Caenorhabditis elegans: one gene and its partner. The protein of the gene in region 2 interacts with the protein of the main gene of each other region in a pairwise test. Each region holds a gene or a part of one and is shown on either strand. Other genes may lie near its edges. The genes, in order: lron-10 and nop-1.

Region 1 (4,809 bases), 4.7 Mb from region 2:
TTTCGTTTTTCAATTTTCAATTTTCACTGAAAATATCTATAAATTTTTCGTTGGCACTTTGATACAAGAAAATAGTCCGTAATGACCAAATATAACTTTCTACCAAAAAAAAAATCAATAACTGCTATTTAAATTATCAATTTTTAGGCTAATTTTGAAGTTTCCACCAATTTCTTTCAAGTTTTCTTTACGAAGAAATATCTCTGAAAATCGAACGAACAATAATTTATTATTTCAAATCAAATATCAAAATAATAATAATAATATTTTTATTGATTAATTTAGCCAGAAAAAGGCAAAAATATCGGATCTAGAACATTCATTCGGCAGTTTCTCTGATTTTTTTGCAGAATTAAAAAATCAGAAGAAATTTAAATTTGTTCTCAATGAGTTTTCTGGAAAATATATCTTTCAAGTCACTTTTTTTCAGGAGCCCGCCGTCACGCTCACGACAACTGGAACACCATTCGATACCGATACATTCACATTTTCGTCCGTCTAGAAGAAGGTCCGGCTCCACAGCAAAAACAACGTCATCCACAGAAAAATGGTTGGGATCATATGGACGAGTACTACAATTATCTTCGCTCTCGAACCGTTAAATATAGTATTTAGGAACTTTTTTAGACAATTTTTTCGTTTTTTTTTGTTATAATTTTTGTTGATCGATTGGTAAAATTTTTTTTAAAAATGAGTTTTTTATTCATAGAAATTTATGTGAATACTGTTTTTTACCGTAATCTCTTAAGTAAGGGCTGGGGGAGAACAATGAGATACAACAATTTTCAAATTATGCGAATCGTTTTGGCCAATGGGGAAAGAGAAATTTGGGAAGGAAGGGTTATAGGAAAATATGTACAATTTTTCAATTAAAAATTAGTCGGAGAGCTCGCCAATCGCGATTTTGAACTTTTTGAATTGAGCACTGAACCAGCTTTTCGCCGCCTCGATCGTCTCCTCAGCTTGCCATTCTTTGGCTTTTCGGTTGACAAGATCCTTGAATTGAGCCCACATTTCTTTGAGTTTTGTCAGTGTACGGCACTTCCAGTCACAGTTCTGAAAAAGGTTAAGGTATTGGATCTTTGATATGAAAAATTGTGATATTTTCCGAGAGGAGCACACAATTTTAATACTATTTTTATTATTAAAAAAAAATAATTTTCAGCCAAGAAAACTTGTTTAAGGTATTTCAAATTTTCAGGGAAAACTCCAATTTTAGCTTATAAAAATTTAAATTTGTCGGAAAAATTTATTTTTGAGAAAACGTTAGAATTTTCAGGTGAAAAATTCAATTTTAGGTTAAAAAAATCATGTTTTGTTGAAAACTTTCAAATTTTCGGTAAAATGTAAAGGAAAAATTGCAAATTTTAAGTAGAAAATTCAAGTTTCTGGAAAAAAATCCAATTTTTAATTTTTTAGGAAAATGTAAATATTTTAAACCAATTTGCACTTTAGTAACTATTCCGAGTGTCATTTATTGAAAATTCTGGAAAAATTCGATTTTTCGCGTTTTTCGTTTTTTTTAATCGTTTTTATATTATACCGCAAAAAATAATGTTGTGCCATGAAAAATCGGTTCTTCAATTTTTTTTTTGAAAATATCGAAAAATCAAAATTTTTCGTATAATTTTGTACATTTTTTTGTTGATTTTTCGGAAGAAAATGTCTTATTTTCCCTGATTTCCCATAATTAGAAAAAAAAACCAAAAATCGAAAATTTTCGCTTTTCTCTGAAATTTGGTAGTACTGTTATTTTTTCTATTTTTCAAATCTTTTTCGCGAACCTTATCAAGATTATCACACTGCAACGGCTTCTCATTATCACAATCCGACAAAACTGGAATATCCTTGTGCAAATGCACCAAATCGGAGCAATTCAACCGAGTATTTCCCTGCACATCAATTCCCTGAAGATCTGGGAATGATGCTTTGATCATGCTAATCGCCGGAATTGTGTCAATGTCATTGCAAGTGAGTGCCAGGAAATGGAAACCGCGAAGTGGTGATGAATGGGGCAATGGGAAACGATTGAGACCAACGCCATCACATCTGATCACTGGATCATGTTCTGACAATTCACACGTACATCCGTCCAGGCATGGAACTGATCGGCAGGCAACTGAACATTTTGGAATTTTAGATTTATTTTAACTAGAATGTATTAATTGTTTTATGTGTTTATTTCGTTAATAGGCACTAATCAGAAAATAAAGACGGAGAAGAATTTTTGCTTTAAATGCTAGAAAATATACTTTTTAAATAATTTTCTAAATGTTTTCAGTTTTTTTAAATTAATTTTTCAACTACTAGATGTTCTTTTTTAATTCGGCAGTATTCATTCATTTTTCGGAAGCAAATTCCATTCCATTGATTGACTTTTACAATTGTTCATTCAATTTTTTACATGACTCACATGAATTCACTATGATGAGTAATTCAAAAAACAATCCAAACTAGATTCTAGATTCCCAGAGTTCACTTTTTAATGTATCATCTCTCAATTCACGATGATGTGTCATAAAATAGCCGCTATGTTTGTATAGAGACTCCGTTCGTGTAATGTTGCGTAATTAAAAATCGTATATACGCATACATAGACGGTGATGATTAAGATTACAGGTTCTTAGCTTGTAAAATTGAAAAAATGACGTGTTGTAATTAAATACAACTTTAAAAATGCCTATGAAGATCCAAATTGAAATCGCGAAATTTGAATACGATTCAGAAATTAGTGGCTTTTAAAATCATGTTTTAGGATAGAGAGTTTCGGCTTCAAGAATAAGTTGTATAATGTTAATGAATTAAAAATGAAATACCTAGTAAAAAGTTACAGCAAATAATTTCCCGCAAAATTACTTGAAGATGGTCTCTTTTCTATGATATTTTTTGTGAGAAATTTTTGTATAGTTATGCATGTGATATTGTTGTATAAATTGGATTTGCTTTTTCGATGTATTAATTTTTTTTAAACTATGTATATTACCTGCCACAAAGAGGAGAAGAAGAAGAAATGCAGATGTGATGGAGGTCATGCCTAAACGAAACAAAAATGAAATATATATCCAGAAGGAGTGTATTGGAAAAGCAAACAGAGACCCAAAGAGTGGACATGGCACATTCAAACAAACAATGGAACAAAATGATTGTTGGGCATTTTGGATGAGAGAGTGATTCATATCAATAGAGACGCAGATGTGAAAGGAGAAGGGGTGGTTTAATCGATTTGGATGGGGGTCCGGTTAGTTTACAACCACAGTTTACAGCGTAGAGGTACTTGAAGTGGAATGCCATTTTTTTTTATGTTAATGGGATTTTAAGGTATTTAATTTGAAAATTTTGAATGGTCAAAAGCAGGGGTAAAAAATTCCGGCAAATCGGCAAACCGGCAAATTGCCAATTTGCCTAAAATTTTCGTCAAATTGTGGTTTTGCACATTTTTTTTTGGAAATTTCAGAATTTCAATTTTATCGGCAAGATTGTACGCATCCTATGAATGTTCCTACATCTATTTTGAAAATTAAGGAAATTCTATGAAAATATCTATAGAAAACGGGAAAACATTTCAAAAAGGCAGTTTTAAGTGCTTCCGACTTATAAAATAATCCCTTTAAAAACTTCCGGAAAATTGATATCCGGCAAATCAGCAGTTTGCCGATTTGCCGAATTTGTCGACAAAACAATTTGCCGAACGGCAACCCACCCCTGCAGGGCCCTGCTCAAAAGTACTACGATTAAATTATATAAAATCGACTTTAATTACCGAATTTAGGAATAATGATTTCGATTTAAAATACCCAAATTAGTCTGAAATTCAGAAATTCCACAACTTGAGTAAGCCTAAAACCTGAAATCTAAAAAATTTTTCCACGAAATTTGAGATTTTTGATGCTCCAGGAAACCTTTAGCCTGAGGAATAAAGAATATTTATTGCGTTTTTTTTGGAAAAGCGGGGTAGAAGAAGAAGAAGAAGAAGCGGATATGTGTGAGCAATGAAGAGGAAAAAAGCACATGACACCGAATAGTTTGGAACAAAACTCCATTTATCATGTCCAGCGTACCTCCTGACGGATAAAAAGAACGATATATGACGCATCGCTGGTTTTTCTTTTCGTCTTTTCATGTTCTGCACGGGATACCGGTTCTCTTGTGGAAACACGAGAATGCATGCGCCGCGGGAAAGAAGGGAAAATGTCAGAAATCACAAAACAAATCAAAATAAAAAATAAAAAATCGTTCGAGAGGAGTCCGCAGCGCATGGCCTAGCGACGGGGGATTCTCGTCCGTGTACTTCGAGAGGAAAACTTTTTTATTCAAAATTTTATTCTGAATTTCAATTTTTCTCTTTAAAAACCTTGAAATTTCAGGGAAATCTCAAATCAAATGCAAGCCATTCATGAAAATTATACAGATAATCCATCGTCATCAATAACAAGGGAAAGGCAGCATGAAGATATGAAAGGCGCCCAATTTGTGGTCCAATCCAATCTTAAAAGTGACTTTTTCTGGGTTTTAGCCGGATTATTTATTTATTTTTCTTTCAGTTATGTCAAGATCCATCGCAGCGCTGAGCAAAATCTCTGAAGACGTGTTAATTGAGGTTTCCGAAGGCGGGGTGAGTCAAAAGTCAAATTTCGGCTAAAAAATTATTTTTTTGTTTTTTTCCAGCTCTTCTTCAAAACAGTGAACCGTTCAAAGTTCTGCGTGTTCCGCTTTGCACCAGAATTTTTCAACGCTTGCGATGTATCAATGATTAACAAAAAAGCAGTGAATATTTGCAGATTATCGATGAAAGTGGGGAGAAATCTCAGA
Region 2 (6,300 bases):
TACCCTTTAAACTTAAATTTAAAGAGTACTGTAACTTCAAACTTCTGTTATTGCGAAATTTGCTTCAATTTGACATACTTTTTTGATAAAAAATTTTTTATTTTTATTTAAAGATCTGCGCATTTTTGTATTCAACTAAAATCTATCGCGTCACCGTATTTTTGGCGCAAAAAAACCCGTAATTTTCTTCATAATCAGCGAGAATCCCATAAAACAAATCTCGGTTAAACCAGGATAAAGAAAACAAATAATAAGAGAGAAGGGTGATAAAATGAACTTGAAGTGATAAATGCAAAGGAAATAAGTGAGAAGAGATGAAACTTATGATATCAGATTACCTATCTCTTTTTCAATTTATCTTCTGCACTTTTTTCGTGTGCTCACATTTTTGAAATTCAAATATTCCGTTGATAAAATTAAATTCGTGGAATTCGGACTTCCACGTGGTACACTCACAACAGGTGGACAAACATCGAATTGAAGTGGATGAGAAAAGAAGAGCCGATGGACACAAAAATATTTCTTTCTCTCATTAGACACTTGTTTCTCTTTTTATCAATTGAGACAAAGATAATAAAATAGTATAGAAGATTAAGAGACGCAGAGTTATCTCAAATGATCGATTGATCAACCATTGAGCAACAACTAACCGGTCCATCCGAATTGGAATATCGGATGGAAAAGTTGAGAGATGAAATATTTTCTTTTTTTTTAATTGAAAAAATCAATTCATTCACCTCGTTTTTGCAAAACTCCAAAAATGAAGGACGTTTCATGAAAATCAAAAATTCCTCAAAAAAAAATAGTAAGCCTTCACACACTTTATTACAAAAAAATACGAACAAATCGAGGGAAAGAGGATAGAAACATCAGGGGCATTCTATTCACAGTAATCCTCAAAAAGTGAAGAGAAAAATGCAAGGATGAAAAGGTGTAGAGCTTAATTTTTAGATAATAAAACTTGCTATGAAAACACAAAAAAATATATCAACCGTTTTGAGGAGGAAAGAGAAAGGTAACATGAATTGAAAGAAATTTTGAAAATTGACGAGATCGATAATACATTTAACAACAAGACACACATTTCACAGCTCAAATTTTAGCTCCAAACACAGTTGAAGTGCTCGCTGTGGATTGAGTGTCGAAATCATCGTTTGAACTTGCCGGCCCATCAGATTCGGAGATTGCAACCGACAGTTTGAGTTCATCGAACTTGTTGCGTAGAAGGATGACATTATTTGGAGTCACCCCAGCGAGAATACATTTTCCGTTCGGCATCCATCGTTTTGTATTCATTAATATTCCATCGAGCATCAGGAATATTGCGTCGATGGTTCCTTTTGAATCCCATTCCTCTTCTGATTGGCAGAACATTGGATAAATGAGCATTGTAGATGATTCTCGCATTTTTGTGATCCTTTTCCATTCTTCAATCGACTTGCACAAGCCACTTCTAACATTCCGAAGGTGATCAAGGTTGATGTCAGCTGAAATTCAAAAAAATTGAAATCAACATTCAATTGAGAATATTTACCATTAGAGGAAACCGAGTCATTAAGACTTTTCAAGCTCGCTTGTGGCTGCTCAGGCATCACAAACACGAGCTCCGGTTCGTATTCGGTGATTGATCCGCAGCGATCAGGTCGATAATTTGACACGATCTCCTCTTTCACCCTTTTCGAAAGTTCACTGTCCATGAATGTGGCAGCAGTAGTGGAAACTGAAATATGTCAAATTAGAATATGAGGATCGTTATGCAATAAAATGTTGGCTTACATGGAGATCCATCTGCCTTGATATCAACAGCCACGACATCAAACTGCAAATTCTCGCTTTGAGAAGTGTCGGAGGACGACGATTCAGTCTGGAAAAAATTGTATTGAATTTATTCATACAACTCGGATACAACTTACGAGTTGAGTTTCAAACAACTCATCCATTTCCAACTGCTTCTGCTTTTTGACTTGTTCAATTTTTAATTTCAGAAGCTCTCCTGCTGGAACATCGGAAATGATAATACGGTCCAGAAGGCGTCGAGTGCGTTCTGGAAATACATTTTCTATAAACAGGATATTTGAATCATTTGGGATTACCTTTTTTGCCTTCATCATCACGCCTCGATCCACATCTTGATATGCTTTGACCGGATCTAGACCCAATCGTCCCGTATCCTTGATCTGATGTTCCACTGGCTATACTTCCGACTCCAGATGAAATCGACGAATTCCCAGTGAGCGTATTGCGACGCGACGATTGAGAAACGATTGGACTGGGAACATACTCATTCAATTTCACTGTCGAATTTGAGCCCATTCGGAAAACTGAAGAAATACGTTGCGACAGATTAGAAGAAGATGCCGTTTTCTTTCGAAGCTTTGGTTGCTGAGGTGATTCCGTCAAGTCTTTCGGATTTTTGCTCGCAGAATCATTTACAGAGAGTCCGCTGACAGATGTGAACTCGTTGAAAGAGACTACAGATGCCCGTCTTGATTTTTTGTCCATATACTGCTCCGACGCTTGGTTGTTGTCACTCATTCTCCGATCCTTCGATTCACTTTTTCCTGGGAAGATTTTTCGGAAAATTGAGCTCCGGCGTCCCTGAAACTATACATTACACTCGTCAAAGACGCTTCGATATCAGAAAAAACTCACAATGCTAGATCCTCCAACACCAGAAGCTCTTTCGGACGTCGTCGAAAGTCGTGACATTGAGCATGTCCCTTCATCTGCTGAATCATTGTGTGATGTGACATTGTTGTCAAAATATTCCTTAGCCGCCCCGAACACTTCTTCGTCTTCTTCAGCAATTGGAGCATCAACACGAATCTGAAAAAAAAGTGGTAACGAATAAATAATGTAATTTCAATATAATTTTATTCTTACCGAACTATTAGAGACCGTCAATGCTTCTTCTTCTGGTACATCTTCCATGTTTTTCGAAGACAAGTTCCGTTTCTGAATGGACATCCGCATGGAACGCCGCATCGGAGTACCACCACCTTCAGATTTTGAAGTGGGAACTCGACGAACAGCGCTATTGCAAAGAGATCGGAATAGTGCTGGAGGCATATCATCTTGGTTTTCAGGAACACTTCTAGTCGACATACGTAATCCATTTCTCATCAATGGATTGCGACTTGGAGTACAAAAAACAGAGGTGGATCCAATGGAAGCAGAGTCTTCATCGATAGTGTGGCAAGATCCAATAGACATTCGAGATTCAATCTGAAATAAATGTTTGCGAAGTGGATTTTGCTATGCTTTTCTCGTACCGAAATCGCATCATCCATCTTTGAAGTGAATTCCAGTTTCGATGAGCCTATCTCTGGCAATATGAAAGTCACACTTTCACCGTCTGGAGGTGGAACAGGTGTGAATGAATCCCTATTGACAAGAGTACGAAGCATCGCATTCTTCGCGACGTTAGGAAACTGTGCACTGTGACAGGATTCCACGGAAGTGATGCTTGATTCACTGGTGATTGAAAGATGCGTCTCATTCGCTATGGTGTCCATTTTTGAAGATGAGGCAGATTTGTTGGTGCTCTTCAAAGTAGTGGAGCTCTTCACCTTCTTGAGAAATCCTTTGAAAATTGAAGATCTTCGGTTCTCGCCATTCTGTTCAGATTTCTGAAAAAAAAACGAGTTAATAATACATCTAAAGGGATTAATAAATACCTCCTCGAACCAATGTTTCTCCTTTTTCGTTTGGTGATCTGCATGATCACGATCATCGCTCTGCAAAATACATCAATTAATTTGTAAATAATTTAAATTCAAACTTACGTGAATGTCGCTTTTTCGTTTCTTCGGCGCCGACATGCTGAAAAATGGGTCGATAATTGAAGGAGAACACTTTTTTATTTGAATGACGCGGTAAGCGGGACAATACCGCAGCTGCTAGGCCAACCAGCGCAATGGCTAGTCCACACTTACTCACAGCCATAAGAATGAGAACAAGCGACGTATTGTGAGTATTGCTAACAAGTTAGTAAGTAAGATAATAAGTTTGTTTTTTCGGTCGAGAGTTCGGTTCGGTTCGAAAATTCAACCACTTTTCCAAAGACGAGACTATTTGAATCTTTTGATTAAAAGGTATTTTTTAAACTAATTTTAATTTTGAACAAGCCGAGAAAAAATTATGAATATGCAAACGATTGAATTATTGGATGGAACAACAATTTAATTTACAATTAGCAATCTCTCACAGATAGTGGCTCTTGTTTTGAAAATTAAAAACTTACACTTCTTCTAAAGCGTGTAAATCGAACGTGTTCGACGTCGTTGCCTATTTTCGACTCCGAAAATTTGAGCCCGTTTTTGCTAGAAGCGATGGAACACAATAACGTGAGAAACGTGAGAAAATTGCGAAACACAAAAACAGTTTTACTACGGTAATCGTAACGAGACCCGTCGACTGAATTAATTAAATTTCCTTTAACTTTCTTGTCGTGGCAGGACACTTGCTTTGATGAACTCTGTGCGCCTTGAAAGTTTTCATCATGAATTAATTCGAATTTGTACAAATTTTTTGCGGCTTTTATTTTCTTGAATATAGTTGTTTTCTAGTTTATTTTTGCAATTTTGACCGGGTTTTTAATTAAAAAAAACATCGATTAATAAACCCGATTGCAGTCATAAATGTTTAAATCATTCAGCTTCTGTGAATGTTTTTTTTATTTTAATTCGACGCGTTCGTTTTCTTTCCGGTATCTCCTTTTTCTCTGTGCCCTCTCTACTTTCTCTAACCACTCAAAGACAGAGTATGGAAGACGCGACGCGTCTCTCCGCGCTGCGTTCAGCCGCGTGTGCACCCTTTTCTATCGATCCGTTCATTTTTCACTAATCTCTTTCTTTTAATAAACTATTTATTTTAATTTTGCAGAAGGAGAATAACAAAAAACCTTCTAAAAGATGAGTGGTGCAAGGAGAGACAACAGGCGTTCAAATGGTCGTGATGATTCATCAAGAGTTGCAAAAGCGGAAAACGATCGCAAACCAGGGAGGGAAAATCGCGGAGGAGATGAAAAGTAAGTTTTTCTTTACATATTTAGTTGGTATTCTGTACAATTTATATTTTCAGGCGTGGAAATTCCAACAATGCAGCTCGCAGTGGTGGCGGAGGTGGAGGCAACCGCGGTGGAGCCGAACGTGGAATTGCTCCGGCTCAACAGCCGTACGACAACAATGGAGGACACAGAAGCGGTGGTGGTGGTGGAAGAAGTGGTGGTGGTGGAACTTCTTTCAATGGAGCAGCGTTCACTGAGTCCCAACTGATGGATGAAGTTCCAAAAAAGAAGTTCACTGGAAGATGTCGGCTTTTCGTCGGAAATTTGCCAAATGAAGTTAAAGAAACCGAGCTAAAAGAACTTTTCTCTCCACATGGAGATATTGCTGAGTGCTATTTATCTGGAAAAGGATTTGCGTTCTTAAGACTGGTTAGTTTATTTAAATATTTTTTAAAGTTGCATTTACACCTCTCCTATCTATTTTCACTAATCGCCGCGAAGCCGAGGTTGCCAAAAGTACACATTTAAATCGGACTCATTGGGTACTCAAATACTATCAAATGCTGAAGGACTCATTCTCGTAAACTCAAAATTAGTGGACTCCACCATCTCTATGTGTATTTACTCGCTGTTTCTAAACTTCAAATTGCAACTCAACCCAATGTATATCTCAATCGTAACTTCTTCCTGTGGACTCGTGTTTTTAAAAATATCAAAACTTGTGAACTAATTGTAAAAATATTTTCTGTGCTTGGTTTACCTCGGCAACGCGTTTTCAGATTTCTACGGTCCACAGAAGTTTGCATCTACGTCAATTATTGTAGAAAATCCATCTCTTTAATTCAAATAGTCTCCTGTTGAAAGAAATAATTTTGTTACTTTCAACCAGCAGGTTCTGGAGGTCCTATAACTTTATTTTTTCCTTTGTTTATTCATTAGCAAACTATTTTCTATGTCACCGAAAATTTTCAGAGCTTGTCTGGTTACTTTCGGAAAATTCCTTTGAGAGAAAATTCCGTAGACAAAATTCAATTTTTCGCATTATATCGCAGCTTGGAAGTTTATCTCGTATAGAATATTATTTATGAAGCTTCTAGAGTTTTCTTTTAATTTTTGAGCCTTTTAATTGTTTTATCGATTAATTATGCATTCATTCGTGCTTTTAGATTTCTCTAGAAGCTTCAACTATCTCCCTAAAGTCTTTCGAAAAGAAAGGTGATCCATTTTCAAATTATATTTAATTTTTCTTCTTATTGTCCTCATTTCTATTTCAATTTACTTCACAGGATACA

What was found.
Region 1: the proteins of nop-1 (region 2) and lron-10 interact in a two-hybrid assay, tested with the Caenorhabditis elegans proteins (one large-scale study listed by BioGRID).

Annotation. Positions count from the first base shown.
Region 1 is NC_003281.10:10,617,177-10,621,985, forward strand, and holds lron-10 (eLRR (extracellular Leucine-Rich Repeat) ONly), read right to left. Parts: upstream 3,035-4,809; 5' UTR 3,033-3,034; coding exon 2,984-3,032; intron 2,120-2,983; coding exon 1,785-2,119; intron 1,057-1,784; coding exon 877-1,056; 3' UTR 690-876; downstream 1-689. Other genes in the region: mrpl-22 (Large ribosomal subunit protein uL22m), read left to right, coding at 431-615; Cell cycle checkpoint protein hpr-9, read left to right, coding at 4,381-4,492, 4,542-4,612, 4,666-4,791.
Region 2 is NC_003281.10:5,956,829-5,963,128, reverse strand, and holds nop-1 (Pseudocleavage protein nop-1), read right to left. Parts: upstream 4,408-6,300; 5' UTR 4,244-4,407; intron 3,823-4,243; 5' UTR 3,822-3,822; coding exon 3,786-3,821; intron 3,738-3,785; coding exon 3,678-3,737; intron 3,630-3,677; coding exon 3,273-3,629; intron 3,226-3,272; coding exon 2,884-3,225; intron 2,827-2,883; coding exon 2,653-2,826; intron 2,605-2,652; coding exon 2,094-2,604; intron 2,045-2,093; coding exon 1,914-2,044; intron 1,865-1,913; coding exon 1,777-1,864; intron 1,721-1,776; coding exon 1,535-1,720; intron 1,488-1,534; coding exon 1,093-1,487; 3' UTR 807-1,092; downstream 1-806. Other genes in the region: nono-1 (RRM domain-containing protein), read left to right, coding at 4,914-5,029, 5,083-5,437, 6,295-6,300. UniProt on the Caenorhabditis elegans protein: Required for formation of the pseudocleavage furrow during the first cleavage of the embryo and also mediates aster-induced furrowing during cytokinesis.